Linked DNA regions of Schizosaccharomyces pombe. Changing the gene in region 1 together with any one later gene gives a genetic interaction. Each region holds a gene or a part of one and is shown in the gene's direction. Other genes may lie near its edges.

What was found.
Region 2: of scw1 (region 1) and cdc14, a mutation in one rescues a mutant of the other (synthetic rescue), as found in Schizosaccharomyces pombe (2 studies listed by BioGRID).
Region 3: of scw1 (region 1) and spg1, a mutation in one rescues a mutant of the other (synthetic rescue), as found in Schizosaccharomyces pombe (2 studies listed by BioGRID).
Region 4: of scw1 (region 1) and nda3, changing one suppresses a phenotype caused by changing the other (phenotypic suppression), as found in Schizosaccharomyces pombe (one study listed by BioGRID).

What each region holds. Positions count from the first base shown.
Region 1 is NC_003421.2:671,497-675,790, forward strand, and holds scw1 (RNA-binding protein Scw1), read left to right. Parts: upstream 1-1,979; coding exon 1,980-3,665; 3' UTR 3,666-3,755; downstream 3,756-4,294. Other genes in the region: SPOM_SPCC16C4.21 (uncharacterized protein), read left to right, coding at 1-59; p21-activated protein kinase inhibitor Skb15, read right to left, coding at 4,269-4,294.
Region 2 is NC_003423.3:2,330,236-2,335,564, forward strand, and holds cdc14 (SIN component Cdc14), read left to right. Parts: upstream 1-1,890; 5' UTR 1,891-2,034; coding exon 2,035-2,757; 3' UTR 2,758-2,938; coding exon of another isoform or gene 2,939-4,042; 3' UTR 4,043-4,794; downstream 4,795-5,329. Other genes in the region: gpa1 (G-protein alpha subunit), read left to right, coding at 103-1,326; folliculin bhd1, read right to left, coding at 2,939-4,042; SPOM_SPBC24C6.09C (phosphoketolase family protein), read right to left, coding at 5,027-5,329. UniProt on the Schizosaccharomyces pombe protein: Has a role in the septation initiation network (SIN) required for cytokinesis.
Region 3 is NC_003424.3:1,299,175-1,303,118, reverse strand, and holds spg1 (GTPase Spg1), read left to right. Parts: upstream 1-2,028; 5' UTR 2,029-2,100; coding exon 2,101-2,230; exon of another isoform or gene 2,231-2,276; coding exon 2,277-2,485; exon of another isoform or gene 2,486-2,638; coding exon 2,639-2,722; exon of another isoform or gene 2,723-2,762; coding exon 2,763-2,837; exon of another isoform or gene 2,838-2,876; coding exon 2,877-2,975; 3' UTR 2,976-3,407; downstream 3,408-3,944. Other genes in the region: knd1 (cullin-associated NEDD8-dissociated protein 1), read left to right, coding at 1-1,202; protein Utp8, read right to left, coding at 3,408-3,944. UniProt on the Schizosaccharomyces pombe protein: GTP-binding protein essential for the induction of septum formation at G2 and pre-START stages of mitosis. Acts via the cdc7 protein kinase pathway.
Region 4 is NC_003423.3:3,963,541-3,967,606, reverse strand, and holds nda3 (tubulin beta Nda3), read left to right. Parts: upstream 1-1,633; 5' UTR 1,634-1,682; coding exon 1,683-1,694; intron 1,695-1,730; coding exon 1,731-1,780; intron 1,781-1,831; coding exon 1,832-1,873; intron 1,874-1,914; coding exon 1,915-1,969; intron 1,970-2,058; coding exon 2,059-2,944; intron 2,945-3,029; coding exon 3,030-3,331; 3' UTR 3,332-3,515; downstream 3,516-4,066. Other genes in the region: GTPase Grn1, read left to right, coding at 1-907; protein Sdh8, read left to right, coding at 3,992-4,066. UniProt on the Schizosaccharomyces pombe protein: Tubulin is the major constituent of microtubules, a cylinder consisting of laterally associated linear protofilaments composed of alpha- and beta-tubulin heterodimers.

The sequences.
Region 1 (4,294 bases):
CAGTAGGCAAGAAAACGCTTTTTGTAGTGCAAAAAAAAAGATTTAAGCCGGAAACATAGCAGAATAGCAGAAATTTGATATTTACTGTTATCATCTCCATTATTATTTGGATTAGTTTTCGATTGTCCTTTCATTCATCTAATAACGCTTGTTTTTCTTTTTTCTTTTTTGCATTCTCAGTCTTGGTTGTTTTGCTATTTATTGCGTTCCTCGGTTTCTCCCTATTAAATATTTTCTTTTCATTGTTTTTACGGAAATTCTCATTTTTTCATCTTAGGGGCTCGTTGACTCAGCCTGCACGACAAGGAAAATTATATCCGTTTCGGAAGCACAACGTGTGTGTTGAAAGTCTTACTTTTCTTTTTTATTTTTCTGTACCCTTTCATTGAACTTTAGCCATTTGTTGCTTTGTTGAATTTTGGCCATAAATAGTTTTTCAACTGGGTTTTTATTCGACCTCCTTTCATTATTCATTTCATTTTCATATCTATCCATTTCTATCCCCACTAAACAATTTTGTGTTTTTAGGATTTCCCTATTCTCAATCCATAAAATAGTCACGATTCGTTTTCATTCAGATACCCGGCTCCTTATTTTTTTTTTTTTCGAAATTTTATTCACTCGTTTGATTTCGTTGATTCATTTCTTCCGCCTTTTACTCATTACTTAAGGGTATTTGCTTATTAAACGTTTGGTCTTTTTTTTTGCCCATCTTTTTGTTCATACAAAGTTTTGTGACATTTATATAATATTTAGTCTCTTCGTTTTTGTGTGGGTTACCTTTTTTGTTTTATTCTTTTTCTTTTTTTTTTCTCTTTCTTCCCTCTTTGTTTTTTCTTCTGACCCTATTTTATGCCTTATTATTATTTTGATCAAGTTTCAATCATTTTTTCACAAAGATTTCATATTCACTTTACTTCTTAGTTTTTTTCTTTTTATTTGAAATTTCTTGGAATCTTTTTGCCTTTTTTCTTTTAACTTGATCTCTCTTATTTAACGTTACTTAGAAAAGCTTCTTTTATTTTGCTTTTCCTTTCATTCTTCGCTCCTTTATAAACCGTGTTCATACTTCTTTTGCTTACGTTTTGCCAATCTTCCCAGCAATTTTACTTCTATCTTGATTGTTCTTGTTGTTGGATATTTACTCTTTGTTGATAGCGGTATATTTTATTTGCTTCTCACTTTTTGCCCGATTGCTTTCCTTTGATTTACCTCTCCAAAAAAAAACAAGTGTCTTTTGTTTACTTGTTTGTATATTTGTTTATACTCTGCTGATTGAAAAGTTGATTGTTTATTTTATTTTTCCATCTGCAACCATTTCTTTTTTTTTGAAAAAAAAAAAATCGCTAACTGATTTTTTTAAGCATTTCGAATACCTTCGAAGTCTTTTTATCGATACTTTTGACGATTTCTTCCTCATAAGCCTTGCCCTAGACTTTTTGTTAGCTCGGTATTTTTGCATATTTCAGTCATCTTTTTTTCATTTTCAGTTTGTGTTTTTTGCTTCACAGTTGTATCTGTCTCTCTTTTAGCAACTAGAATTATTTGTGGTGGTCAACAGTTTACCCTTTGCTCTCGTTTTCTTGAAGTTACAGTCTTTCTTTTATTATCTTCGTCCAGTATTCTAGGTTGTTGCCCTTCTAATTCTTTCGCGTCAAGTATTTGGATTTTTCTAATACTTGCTAACAATTTTTACTGAATTTTTTATTTTTCTTCATTGCCCTTGCTTATTTTTATTACTTACACACTTTCTTTTTAGTCGACCAACTAGGTTTCTAACTTTTTACTCCACTTATTAACTATTTCGTGTTATTAAGCTTGAAGCCTCATTTATTATCGTTTGGGGTTTATTTAACAACTACTGCTATTTCATTTGTGTTTTACTTTTAGGCATCTATTGCTTATTTTGGTTACTTTATCAACCACTTTGTCATTCTTTTTTCTCTTCTTTTCAATTACCATTATATATAATTTGCAAAATGTTTGTGGGATCACCGAGCGCTATTGAAAAGCCTTTATCGTTATCCAGTAAGACCAAAGTCGGGGACGAAACCGAGTTTACTGAAGATGCGCTACGTGGTTCATCGTTGGTTCCAACCGGTATTCTGAATGGAGATGATGAATGTCATGCTCTTCACATGTCTCCTCAGGCTATTCACAGCCAAGCTGGGAAAGCTGAATCTGACGGTTTACCTACTTATGCATCTGTGGAAAAATCCACAACTCCGATTGGTAGACTCCTCTCTAACCTCAACGGTGGATTAGCCTCTGCTCCTCCTAAGGTTGGATTCGGTTTTCCTAGATATTATGCTTTGCGGATTGAGGATTTACCTAGGGACTTAACACCCAGAGAGTTTTTATGTACCTTTTTATTCGCTACGAATGTAGTATCCGTCGAGCTTAATCCTGTATCCGTGGATAATGAAGTTGCTCATGGATTGGCGGTGTTTTCATCCCGAGATGCTGCTGCATCTGCTAGAGACACTTTGCTATCTAGCGATGTTTATTCCGCGTGCAGCATGATAATTTTAGACAATTATCGAAAGGGAAGTCAAACAAATCTTAGCGACGAAACTGAGGGCTCTGAGAGTAGTGTTTCATTTAACAGACTGTCTCGAAACCATTCTCCAACTCGTCCACTGTTAGGAAATCGTGATCTTTTCCGCAGGTCAAGTAATCATGTGTCAGCCAGTATGCCTACTGCAAATCATTCGGAATCTGCTTATCGTCATTCAAAAACACCTTTGGGTGATAGCACTTTTCAGGCTCCTAACAATGGAGGTAGTTTGCATTCCGATAGGTTGTGGTCTTCTTTCCCTGTTTCTTATCCTTTAACACTCGCGAATGTGTTAGCCAAGGATGAAGTTGGTTCACCTACGTGGTCACCCACTCCTTCCAAAAGTAGTACCAATTTGCGTCAAGACGGTGTTCCTCCGATTTTGCGATTTAACTCATTATCTATTAACACCAACGTGGCGCGCAATTACCTTTCATCTGAAAAGGGTTATAGCGCTCATACCCAAAATTCTAGTGCTCAATCACCCCATCCTCGTGTCTTTTCGGCAAACAGTGCATTCAGTACAACAAGCCCTCCTCCCTTGACACCATCAACATCAAGAGACTACCCATTTTCAGCTTCTACCATTTCACCTTCCACACCATTTTCGGCTTATTCCTCCAGTCATGGAATTCATCAACGCATCCCTGCTTCTACCCCCACGAATACCAACCCTGCTGATCAAAATCCTCCTTGTAACACCATTTATGTTGGAAATCTTCCTCCTTCTACTTCCGAGGAAGAGTTGAAAGTTTTGTTTTCCACTCAAGTTGGATACAAAAGACTTTGTTTCCGCACTAAAGGCAATGGCCCCATGTGTTTTGTTGAATTTGAAAACATTCCATACGCCATGGAAGCCTTGAAGAATTTACAAGGTGTTTGTCTTAGCAGTAGCATTAAAGGTGGTATTCGTTTGAGTTTTTCGAAGAACCCATTGGGAGTGCGCTCATCAAGTTCATCGCATAACAACCATAATGGAAACGTTCGTAACCTTCACTCTGGTTCCATGAATAATTACAATACAGACTCTTTGCTTAATCATACTGGTGGACATAACGAAGTCCACGCCAGTCCCAGTTGGGGTAATAATCTAATGTATGGCAAATAGCTCATCTAGCATTTTCTCGTCTTCATTTTATCATTATTCATCAATACCTTGCAAGGACTTTAGGTCCAAATTTTTTAAGCATATTGTTTCTCTTTTTTTTTTTTTGAGTTTTGCATATTGATTCTTTGTTAATCAAAAGTTGCGATCTATTCCACTTTGACTGCATGCAACTTTAACCATCTGTTAAGCTTAATTACAATTTGTCGATTTATGCGATCTGTTTTATTTCACTCTTATATAAGATGGGTACTTGCATTGTTTAGTTGTCATTAGGATTTATCATTTGCTCATCATTTCCATATACTTCTGCTACACATATCAATTTACATAATAATATCGACTTTTGCTTCTAAATGAACCCATCTTAAATTGCTAAACAAGTACTGTAACAACTTGGTTAGATGTATTTTTATTGTAACACCCAACTTAAGCTTACATACAAGAATTTTTAGGATACATTGATAAGCAAACACTTAATCCTTTTATAAATATTAGTATAGTCTAGGTGAATAAAATATTTCCAACAAAAACTGTATAATAGTAATCCCGTCCTTTCCCTATTAAGTTGAAATTGATTTACTTTTTTTAAAATTGCGAGGAACTTTAGGCATGCTTCGTCCTTTTCACAG
Region 2 (5,329 bases), on another chromosome or scaffold:
TTTTCTGCTGTTTTTACAGAAAATTGCGGAGATTAACTTTCTTTGTCTCGACTTTGAATTATCTCCTTGTGGGGATTTGGAATCTGTAGCTGCCTTTTCACCATGGGATGCATGTCGAGTAAATACGCTGATACATCAGGAGGAGAAGTCATTCAAAAGAAGCTTTCAGATACGCAAACCTCAAACAGCTCTACAACTGGAAGTCAAAACGCTCGAGTTCCAGTCCTTGAAAACTGGCTTAATATCGTCCTGCGTGGAAAACCACAAAATGTGGAAAGTTCTGGAGTACGCGTAAAAGGAAATTCTACTTCAGGTGGAAATGACATTAAAGTTTTGCTCTTAGGCGCCGGTGATAGTGGGAAAACGACCATTATGAAGCAGATGAGATTATTGTATAGCCCCGGTTTTAGTCAAGTAGTTAGAAAGCAGTATCGAGTGATGATTTTTGAAAATATCATCTCCTCTCTATGTCTTCTTCTTGAAGCTATGGATAATAGTAATGTCTCTTTACTTCCGGAAAATGAGAAGTATCGGGCAGTTATCCTAAGAAAACACACTTCTCAACCCAATGAGCCATTTTCTCCAGAAATATATGAAGCTGTTCATGCCTTGACATTGGATACCAAACTTCGTACGGTGCAAAGTTGTGGTACCAACCTCTCTTTGTTAGACAATTTTTATTACTATCAAGATCACATTGATCGAATTTTTGACCCACAATATATACCTTCTGATCAAGATATCCTTCACTGTCGTATCAAGACGACCGGTATATCAGAAGAAACATTTCTGTTAAATCGTCATCATTACCGATTTTTTGATGTAGGAGGACAGAGATCAGAGCGCAGAAAATGGATTCATTGCTTTGAAAATGTCACTGCATTGTTGTTTCTCGTTTCTTTGGCAGGTTACGATCAATGCCTTGTAGAGGACAATTCAGGAAATCAGATGCAGGAGGCGTTATTATTATGGGATTCCATATGTAACTCTAGCTGGTTTTCAGAATCAGCAATGATACTTTTTCTAAATAAACTTGATTTATTTAAAAGAAAGGTTCACATTTCCCCCATCCAGAAGCATTTTCCTGATTACCAAGAAGTTGGTTCAACACCAACATTCGTACAAACTCAATGCCCTCTTGCCGACAACGCAGTTCGAAGCGGTATGTATTACTTTTACTTAAAGTTTGAAAGTCTTAATCGCATCGCTTCTCGTAGTTGCTATTGCCATTTTACCACAGCTACAGACACTAGTTTGCTCCAAAGGGTAATGGTATCCGTTCAAGATACGATTATGTCCAACAATCTACAGTCACTTATGTTTTAGATGAATTTTTCCTTAACTATCTTCATAATCTTTTCTGTCTCATTTCTCTACTTTCATTCGCACTCTAGGAAAAGCCTCTATACTTTTCCGTGAATGGTGTCTCTAGTTAATTTCCTTGCATTTTGTATGCACTTCATGTGTTATTTCTCCATCGAAACTGTTAATTAGTGCATTCTAATTGTTTTATTTCATAGCTTCTTCGAAGCTTCGTGTAATCTTATATTGTTTTAAATAGCTCAAAATTAACTGCAGTTTTTGTTATTTGATAATTTTACGATTAATACATAACTATTGTTTAATTTAATATCTAAATTTTTTCATGTCAACCGTTTGAGACAAACTAAACCCATTGATATTAATATAATTAAATTAGGCGGATTTGATCGTAAACTAAATATAAATCTATAAGGACTCGATGTTGCTTGTTTTGTTATTTTAGGCCCCTTTTTCAAATATGGCTCCAATTCGCCTGTTAATATTCAATTGTATCCTATCTTAGCAAGCTGGTGTTTTCTCTCCCAAAACCTCAAGTTTTAGAAAATAGCAATTTAATGTAGCTGCTTCAACACTCCACCCTACTATTTATATCATTACTAAGAACGAATATAGAGTCTCTTTTTTATCTTTAACTAAACGAAGATTCAATTTACTTTTATTTATAATAAGGATTTTTATTGCCCGCTTGGCATGAGTAAATAATGATCCGGTATGGAAGATCTATTAAACAATGCTAAACAGCATTTGTGTATGAGGAATCCAAAGCTAATTCGAATTGGTTTGCGTCAAGTCGAATCTATTGTATATCATGTTGCGAAACCTAGTCATGATGATAAAATTCCAAGAGAAATTTTCCTAAAATTACAGGATTCACCATTGTATAATTCTACTACCCCTTGCATTTACGCTTTGGACAGTCTCCTTGAATATCAGCAGAATGAAGAGGCATACGAAAAAAACTTTCAATTCATTCAAAAGCTAATTGATGACTTACTGCATGTGATTGAAGGATTGGTTTTAATCCATCCAAAATCACAGACGTTATTTGAAGATAAAGCTACCTTAAGGTTATTTATTCATTTATTACAGCCATCTCAGCCATCTATGTTGCAAGTGGCTGCAATGAAAACGCTTGTATGTATCATGGCAGATCGTCCACTGGCTATTAGGCTTTTTGAGCAGATTAATGGCTTGCAGCAGATATGCGTAGTTTTTAAGCACAAACAAACAAGTCAGGACACCCGATTTCAAATTCTCGAATTTTTCTATTTCTATTTATCCCCTGAACCATATTCTATAGATGTCATTGCCTACAGGAAAACGCGGACTGAGAAACAAGCTTACCTATCCAAATATCTTTCTAACGTACAAGGGCTTCGAGATGATTTAGATAAGTTTCAACCATTTGGCAAGTTAGACGAAACATTCGACTAGTTAGATGCAATGCCTGGTGCAAAAAAATGTTTAAAGTCTCATTGTTAACTTATTTTTGAAAATTTAGTATTCATTTACTAAAGAATTTCTAATGTTAATGTTAAATTATTAATCGATCATCTTACTATTGAAAGTATTCCAGCATCCTATAGCATTTGTAAAAAGTCAACCAGTTTTACTTTCATACTACTAAGAGATCCCAAACCTCCAGAATCCAGCTAAACGAACTGTGAAGACCGACAAAGATTCCGTCCCAACATGTGATATCAACTAAACTGCGTCCCTCCCCAATATCGTCTCGACGACGCAAAAAACTGAAAGAAGGAAGTCTTTGTGTGTGGGCCAAAGATGACACATTTGCACCGATACTAGAGGATATCTCATACGAAGGAGCAGTTCCTATATTTGAAGAACCCGATAACGAAGAAATGTTAAAACTGGGGGATGCAAACGTTCCATTGCTAGAGGAGGCTGTTGTTTTTGAACGGGAGGAGGAGTAGTCATTCTTTGTATTGAAAGAAGAAATCCTTAGAAACTGGACTATATGAAGAAACTTTTCAGAAATAAAACTATATCGCAAAATCAAATCTAACTGATTTGGACAAGTAGCAATAATCGCATATCTTCGAAGTCCTCCCCGGGCAGAGGGATCTCTTAAAGAAAAAGACTGACTAATAACGTAACCGTTATCTTGGTCTCCAAAGAACAAAGGATTTGACATAGAATCGGAAGCTTCAGATAGTGTTGAATATTCACAGCTCAAGCAGCGAACCATTAATCGCTTAAGGGTAGAATATCGTTGCTGAGTATGTGGATGTTGACTAGACATGTATAAAACATCGGGGTTTGTACTTGAGTTTGTATAAAGTCGTGGTTGAACATCAGGTACAGAGAATTCAAGGGGTAAAACAGTACTACATGTAACACAAGATGATTTTCTCGAAATAGGGCTTTGATTTCGAGAGTATGAGTTATGAAATGAGTTTACTCGGGGGGATTCTGGTCCTTTCGATACCTTTTTACATAAATAATCTTCAGAATCAGCTTTGAAAAGTGATTCGGTAGAACTTTGTAAAGATTGAGAATCGGCATTGTTTCGATTATCGAGTTCATTTTTGAAGGCTTCTGGTGAATCATTACCATTCTCCGTTACGCCAATAGAGCGCTTAGATGTAGGATGCTCAAAAAATTTTGAAACGGTAGAGCGATGCAATTTTTGAGTGCAAAAAATAATGGAAGGCCCCTCGGCCTCACAGAAATGTCCAAGAGCAAAAACAACATCCATTATGACTATTATGGAAATTTGGTGAGATAAAAGTGTTTAGTTGACAAAGGCGATCTGAAAGCAAATGTTTAGAAAGCGACAATGAACTTGAAAAGTTTTGATGGTGTATAATAGCTTCTAAATAATGCCTTCAAATCTAATGATTAATAAGGTGATACGTTTTAAAGTCGATAAAATGTAAGATGTGCATTCGTTCGAAAACAACCTTTTGTACTTTACCGATTTACCAAGCAAACATTCAGTTATACTGAGGTATTTCGAAAAGATTGAGGATTAGAAAAAAAATGGATTAAAGAGCTTGAAACGCTCCAGATACTGAAATTGATATGAAAATTCCTGATAAATTAGAGGATATATGTGTGCGTCTTCATCTCACACAGTACCAAAATATAATAAACACACTAGAATCTGTCCAGTTTACATTAAAAGAATTAAAAAAAAAGTTTTTCTGTTTGGAAAAAGCGGTTGATTTTCTCACTTCAAGGAATAGAATGTTCAGAAGTTTATACCAAGTTCCACATTTCCGATATTGTAGGGGAATGCTGAAGAGTCGCAAATGAGGGAATTTACGAAAAGCTAGTAATTAAGAAACTTCAAAAATGAAAACGACCTTCATAGAAAACAAGTAAAAATGCGAGTGCGTTGAGAGGGGGAGGAAGAGGTTAAAAACTGACGAGCTACAAAAAAGCGTAAGGTATCAATTAGTGCCTCTACTGTTTCGATTACTAAATACAGCCACAAACTATTGATAGTAATGTATATAAGAATTGGTATATTAAATCGTGTAAAACACAATTGCAATATGCGCGCGACCGGGCAAATCCAAGTCAGCTAGCTACCTAAGTGATACCACCAACCAATGTTTGGGTACACCCCAACACTACAAGATATGCTAACGTTTTAATTAACACAAAAACAGATGTAATTTTATTTAAATTCTGTAGAATTATCATTATATAAACAAAAAGAATGCACCATTTCTATCTATAATGTGGAAGTCTTATTTTTAAAGACAGGAGCAGCATAAATTTCAGGAGGATCATCCTTGTTTTCCATAATATAATTTTCAATCTCTTCGAGCTTCCAAGCATATTTGGCACACAACATGTTACAATTAACGGCCACGGTAGGATTGTGTAAAGCATGTTGCAAAGCCATTCTTGCAACATGATAACGAGAGGTATTGTTACACATCATCATATTAAAAGGAGTGGTAGTAGTACCTTCCTCTCGATAGCCCTCCATAGTGACCCGTGTACCTTGTATGCGATCAAACAAGAGAGCCTT
Region 3 (3,944 bases), on another chromosome or scaffold:
AAAGTTTTATGAGTCCTAAATCAGAAGTACGGATAAAAGTTTTCACAACTTTAATTTTTGGACAGCTTGATTACGGGAAGCTAACACTTCCTGCAAATGAGTACTTTGATACGATTGCAAGTAATTTAAACTCGCCGAATGCAGATGTTATGAAAGCAGCAGCTATTGCCTTAGGGTCGCTTACTAGTCAAAGTGAAAAATTCATAAAAGAATTATGTGCTTTATACGTCTCAGATGCTTATGATAAAGAACTTTTATTAATTTCCTTTTTAACTTTTCTTAAGAAATCAAAAATCGATTATGAAACAGCAGATAAAATATGGGATATCCTTTCTAAGGACATTGAAAACATTAAAGACTTTTCCACTTCTCCCTTCAGAACTCTTTTATCTGAATGTCTTGGTCTTTTAATTTGTAATGAATCTTCTAGCTTATATTATAAGCTAGAACTTTTATCCTCCAGTGAAGCTTCAAATCATATGCTTTTATCTCTTTCGGTGTTTCGTTTTTCGTTGACATTGGACTGTCCTAAACTGAAAGCTTATGAGAAACAATTTTTTGAAAAGGCGTATAAGCTATTTCAAAATCCAGACCTCGAAGTTAGTCAAGAAACGTTGCAGGTCATAATATCTGTGATAAAAAATAGGCGTTCTTGCATTGCAGACGTTTATAATGAACTTTTACAAGGCTTAATTTCCAAATCATCAGTTGATTCTAGTAACGTTCATGTTGTACAAATGGGCCCTTTCCAACATGTGGTTGATAATTCAATAAATCAACGGCAGCTAGTATTTGAAACACTTTATTCCTTACTGGATATCCCTGAATCTTTGAATCATTTAACCCATTTTTTACAGGTTTCTGTCATGGGGTTAGAAGATGAACATTATATTAAGCTAGTATCTTTGTCAATCTTGGAAAAACTTGTCGACTGCAGCCCTTCAATTATAGACGAGCAAGTAGACACTATTTTGGAAGCATTACGAAAAATTATAGAGCTTAGAAAAACTGAAAAGACTTTAAAGACAGATAGCGATAATATCCTTGATTTGGTTCGTTCTGCTTTGAGAGTTTTGTTTACAATGAAGTTGAAGTGCGACAATCCTGTAATTTCTGAATTCGAAAGTCAAGTTCAAAAGGGTCCTTACTCCTTGGAATATGAGGGAATAAAGAACGAAATCAAAACTACAATTAAAACTTGAATTTGAATATAATGTTGGAAATTCCCTTTGAATTTTTACTGGCATTTGATTACCTACAATATTTCAATGTTGAAACCTACAATGCGCTTCTCAACTGATATATTCATTAATTTCAGATGAATCCAGTTGACGCATTAAACAGTAAAAGCTAAGGTGTGCAAAATGAAACAGAAAAATAAATGCTGACCATATTTGTCATATTGTTAATTATGATAATGTTTAGAGGCATTTGGTTGACTTAATATATTAATTATTACTGGCTTGTTCTGGTCGTCAAGCATTTTAAAAATGACACTGCCATGTTAACGTTCAGTCTTAGTGTAACTTCTAATTATCAGTATATGAACAATTTTAGTACCTTTATCATATTATGGCTTCATAAACACCTGGCGGCTCGGTACCACAATCCCTGGTAAGAACCCGAATTCCGTTGCAATGCGAGTAAAACCCAGAAAAAATAGTCCCGAACAAACTTATGAGTACAAGAATTACGAATAATTCCAAGAGCAATTAACAACGCATCTCATTTGGCTCAATAATTAGCACAAACAGTTATGGAATTTTACATTATCGATAGCAAATAATCAAAACTACAATTTACTGTAAACCCACCAGTTATAATAACTAGCTTTTTTATAATTACTTATTATAAATAAAGATCTTTTCTCGTTTTAATTTACAAACTAATATATTACCAGCATTCTTTCCATTGCTTAAAAAAATATATGTACAAGTCAACGTAACACGACGTAGCAAGCTATGTCATAATACGCTATTCATAATAAGCCAATATATATATTATAACACGAACGAGGCTTCTTATCCTATGCAAAGGGAAATTGTTCATCTACTGCCGGGGTTCAAGCAGAGTAATATCAGAGGATAGGAGTTTTAAAGAATGGCAGATGCTAGAAAAAATAACGTCACGATAAAAGTCGGAATGATTGGAGATAGTTCAATTGGCAAAACATCTCTTATGGTAACTTATGTTCAGGGCTCATTTGATGAGGAAAGCACACAAACGCTTGGTAAATATTTACCTTTATTGGGAGATTTCTAACTTAACAAACTTAGGAGTGAATTTTATGGAGAAAACAATAAGCATTCGAAACACTGAAATTACCTTTTCAATTTGGGACCTTGGAGGTCAGCGAGAATTTGTAAACATGCTACCGATGGTTTGTAACGATGCCGTTGCAATTCTCTTTATGTTCGATCTTTCAAGGAAATCCACATTAAATTCTATCAAAGAATGGTATCGTCAAGCTCGCGGTTTCAATAAGGTATGAGTTCTTTCGTTCCGATATACGTTTATGCACGTCCGGGTTGTTTTGATTTTGTTTTTAGAACCGATAACCTCTGTTCGTGGCTAAACTTCATTAGATTACTTTTTATCGTACTCAGTATATCTCTAACTTAGTTACTAACGCTTTCAGACCGCTGTCCCTATATTGATTGGAACAAAATACGATCATTTCATGACATTTCCTCGTGAAGATCAAGAAGAGATTACCAAACAGGTACAAAAATTACTAGAAGTCGTATTATTAACTTGGTTAGGCACGTCGTTATGCAAAGGCCATGAAGGCAAGCTTGGTATTTTGTTCTACTTCACACTCTATTAATGTGCAAAAGGTATAATATCAGTTGATATACTATATTGACGATTTTTAGATATTCAAAATTGTTTTGGCTAAGGTGTTTGACTTAAAATGTACTATTCCTGAAATAAAAAACGTTGGAGATCCTATTTTGGAATACATCGATCGCTGATTTTTAATGCTTTACCATCTCTTTCTTTTTTTTTTTACTCTGATTTTACCCACACTCCTTTATCATGTTTATTTTCCCGAATTTTTGTGTCATTTAAGTATTGCTACCTTTTCCCTTGCTTTTGGTTTTAACGACATATTCATTTACTCAACTCTCTGTCAAAATATTTAATGAATTATAACCACGATCTCTGCAACTTTTGGTTTTTTGTTTGAACGAAATCTGTCTAATTAAAAGTGATCTTTACCAGTCTTTTGTTTTATCAAACTTTTAGTTGATATAGCTTTGCAGTTGAAAACAAGGTCTGAAATATCTTTGAATGTGGTATACTGTCCCTTTATGTACAAACATTATTTAAATTAATTTTTGATAGATTTTTATTCCAAAAAAATAACCCCTATATGTATTTCACAAATAAACCTGTTTTTCTAATTATATTTCTAAACGTTCAACTGTATATTTTCCAATAGCCATGTCAATTTCTTTACCACGGGCACGTTGGCTTTTACCTTTTCTTTTTTCGGAAAGAAAATCTTTTTTCAGTAAAGTCGCAAGATCACCCATGTCATCCACAATTGCTTTAGGTTGTGGATTGGCGTAGAACTGCACTCGTTCAGCATGTACGTCTTTTTTACGCTTAACAATTTCGGAAATTGCAGGGAGAACAAGCGACATAGCTGTTAAATTCGTTAGCTTTTCCTGTAAATCATTGTAGAGAATCCTCGCAGCCTCTAAGTTTTCAGAACTCGATGCAACGCCTCCAACACCCATTGCATCGAGAACAACAGACAAACAGTAAATGTACGTTTCCAAATTAAACTTAACAGATGCAAGGTTAGAGTCTACTACTAGGTTGCCCAAGGTTTTAAAGAGTGAATCAAAATCCTCGGGAACAAAAGCTAAAAGCAACGCTTCTCGGGATGTCGTGCTATCAAACAAAGATAACCTCGCTAAAGCACTTCTTAACAA
Region 4 (4,066 bases), on another chromosome or scaffold:
TCTTGACGCTCGTGATCCTGAAGGGACTCGTTCAAAAGACGTTGAACGTCAAGTTTTAGCATCTTCTGCTGAAGAAAAGCGTCTTATTTTCGTTATCAACAAAATTGACTTAGTACCATCAGAAGTACTCAACAAGTGGGTTACCTATCTCCGCAATTTCTTTCCTACGATTCCTATGCGTTCCGCTTCAGGATCTGGAAACTCAAATTTAAAGCACCAGTCGGCTTCTGCTAGTTCCACTATCTCCAATCTTCTTAAATCACTCAAGTCTTACTCAGCCAAGAAGAAGCTTAAAAGCTCTCTTACAGTCGGTGTAATTGGATACCCCAACGTTGGTAAATCATCTGTTATTAACGCTCTTGTCAACCGTTCTGCGAATGGTCGTTCTGCACCTTGTCCTGCCGGAAACGTTGCCGGAATGACTACTTCTTTGCGAGAGGTGAAGCTAGATAACAAATTACGTTTGGTCGATAGTCCTGGTATTGTTTTTCCTTCTAGTGATTCTAAAGACGATTTGTATCGTCTTGTAATGCTTAATGCTGTTTCATCCACCAAAGTTGATGATCCCGTTGCCGTTGCTTCTTACATTTTGCAATTCCTTAGCAGAGTTCCAGGACAATTGGAAAGAATGTTTCAAAGATATGAGCTTCCTCCTCTATTGAATACATCCGATATAGACACTGCTACTGATTTTTTAGTCAATATTGCTCGTAAGCGTGGTCGTCTAGGTCGCGGTGGAATTCCAAATCTTAACGCTGCTGCCAATATTGTCATTAATGACTGGCATGCTGGTCGTATCGAATGGTGGGCCGAGCCTGAGGTTATAAACGAAAAGAACTCATCTGAAGTTCAGGATACTCAAATCGTTACTGAGTGGGCCAAAGAATTTGACCTTAATGATTTTTGAGAGTTTTCAACTTACGAAAAAAGCTATTGTTGCTTAGAGCTTATATTTTGGGATTTGGTTTTCGGTTGCGGTTTTTCTTCGGGTTTTAAAAATCTTTAGGTGTTGATGGTTACTAGCTATTACTTTTTGAATTAATATATAAATAATTTTTTTTGCATATATGCCGTATTCTTGAATGTGTTGTTTTACATTTACTTGTAAAAGTAATGTTTGATATGGGAGAAGTTTTAAGTAATAGGTTCGCTAATACGGGAAATTATTAAATCAATGCATGCTGGCTTAAATAAAGTCAATTGAATATGTACGGAAAATGACATTGATACTAACGTGCAGTTATAAGTTTCATTTCATTTTTATATCAATTGATAGGATAAACACAAACAATTCTAACCATACTATTTTGCGCTACTACTGAATATGGCATAATATCAAATTAATCTGTTTAGCAGTTAATAATTATGTATATAAACTAAAGAATAAATAAAGTTACATACATTACCAAAGAAAAGAAAAAAAGCTTGTATATAAAAGAAGTAAACTATTTAATAAGCAATGATTTAAGACTTGATTCTTTTCAATTAACAATCGGCTAATAAATACACAAAAATTTTTTTTAAAAGCCTACTAGTAAATAACTGCAATAAACTGTGTTTTTAGAATTTCTGAAACGTATAAAAACGATTTGGTACTTTTGGTATTCTCAATCCGTTCCTCCTAACGAAACTCACCTACCACCAAACTGATCATCAAAACAAACCACCATAAATTAGTCTAGATGCGTGAGATTGTACGAGCTATTTTAATATTCAAAGCTAATCAATAGGTTCATATTCAAGCTGGTCAATGCGGAAACCAAGTCGGTGCGGCCTTTTGGTAAGCAAAATCTACTTTGTTATAACGTTTCTCTCAACTAACGCTTGGAAGGTCTACCATTGCTGATGAGCATGGTTTGGATTCAGCTGGAATGTAGGTCTATTTTGCTTGTTTTTTTACTGACTTTTACGTAGATATCATGGAACTTCTGAGGCACAACACGAGCGATTGAACGTTTATTTTAACGAGGTAGGTTTTTTTGCTTTCTTACAAGTGTTCGGTTGCTTAAAACTTTTTGAAAAAATTTTTTTTTGTTTATTTAGTACTGACGACTGTAGGCCGCTGGTGGAAAGTATGTTCCCCGCGCAGTCCTTGTTGATTTAGAGCCCGGTACTATGGATGCCGTGAAGTCAGGAAAGTTTGGAAATCTTTTCCGCCCGGACAATATTATTTATGGACAATCTGGTGCCGGAAATATTTGGGCTAAAGGCCATTACACTGAAGGTGCTGAATTGGCCGATGCTGTTTTGGACGTTGTTCGCCGTGAAGCTGAAGCATGTGATGCTTTACAAGGTTTCCAATTAACTCACTCTTTGGGTGGTGGTACTGGATCTGGTATGGGTACTCTTTTACTTTCGAAGATTCGCGAGGAATATCCGGACCGTATGATGGCTACCTTCTCCGTTGCTCCTGCTCCTAAAAGCTCTGATACCGTTGTGGAACCTTACAATGCTACTCTTTCTATGCATCAATTGGTAGAGAACTCTGACGAAACATTTTGCATTGATAATGAGGCTCTTTCTTCAATTTTCGCTAACACGTTGAAAATCAAGAGTCCTTCATACGATGACTTGAACCATCTTGTCTCTGCTGTAATGGCTGGTGTAACCACATCTTTCCGATTCCCTGGTGAATTGAACTCTGACTTGCGTAAATTAGCTGTTAATATGGTTCCCTTCCCTCGTTTACACTTTTTCATGGTAGGATTTGCTCCTCTTGCCGCCATCGGTTCAAGCTCATTTCAAGCTGTTTCTGTGCCCGAGCTTACTCAACAAATGTTTGATGCTAATAATATGATGGTCGCCGCTGATCCTCGCCATGGCCGTTACTTAACAGTTGCCGCTCTTTTCCGTGGTAAAGTCTCAATGAAAGAAGTCGACGAGCAAATTCGCTCTGTTCAAACTAAGAATTCAGCATATTTCGTTGAGTGGATTCCCGATAATGGTATGTTTACTTGGTTTAAAACGTCGTTTGTATATTTAGTTTATTTTTTCTACTTGTTTATGCTCATCTGCTAACCTCGAAATAGTCCTCAAAGCTGTTTGTTCCGTTCCTCCTAAGGATCTCAAGATGTCTGCAACTTTTATTGGTAACAGTACTTCTATCCAAGAAATTTTCCGTCGTTTGGGTGATCAGTTTTCTGCAATGTTTAGAAGAAAAGCCTTTTTGCATTGGTATACTGGTGAAGGCATGGACGAAATGGAGTTTACTGAGGCTGAATCTAATATGAATGACTTGGTTAGCGAATATCAACAATACCAGGAGGCTGGTATCGATGAGGGTGATGAAGATTATGAAATTGAAGAAGAGAAGGAGCCTCTCGAGTATTAAACCCTTATAACCCTTTTTATAATCCAAGTGTGCCATATATTTTCAAATAGTGTTTATCTACGTTCCTTTTTTCCTACATTCATTGAAATGCTTTATTTTACTCCGATGCATATGGATTCCAAGCATCGTCTGTGCTAAACGCTCTTTACTTTTTTTCATAGCTTTGAAATGCTCCTTACACTCTAAATATAGCTTTAGCCTGGCTACCAAGGTGGAAATGTACTATAAACACGAGTAAGTCTGTAAAGTACTTTTGTAAGTCCAAACCGTACGAATTAAAGCTATTTACTATTCCCTAATATATGCTTAGATATTTGACTATTACAAAGTAAATGTATAAAGCAAGTCTAATACTTAAGTGTCAATTCCCAAAAGTAGAACCAAAAGATGCAGTGAGATTTGTAAATTCAATAAACTATTAATTTAGTTAAATTATCACCTACTGCTACGTATCGTATTTATGTTGCGTTTTGTGAAAGTAAACTCGTTTGATATACCAGTACTTATAAACGTCCACCAGTATAACAATCCGCCACTTTCTAAATTCGCCTTTGTCAACGACGAGAAATATTGAGTGGCTTCGAAAAGCCGAAATTGAAATTTACTCATATAAAAGTATATTAGGAACTTTATTTACTACATTGCAATCGCACCAAAACAATGTTTAATCGTAATTTACGTGCTGTCATTCTTAAAAATTACAATAAAGCTTTAACAAGATGTTTGCATGATGCT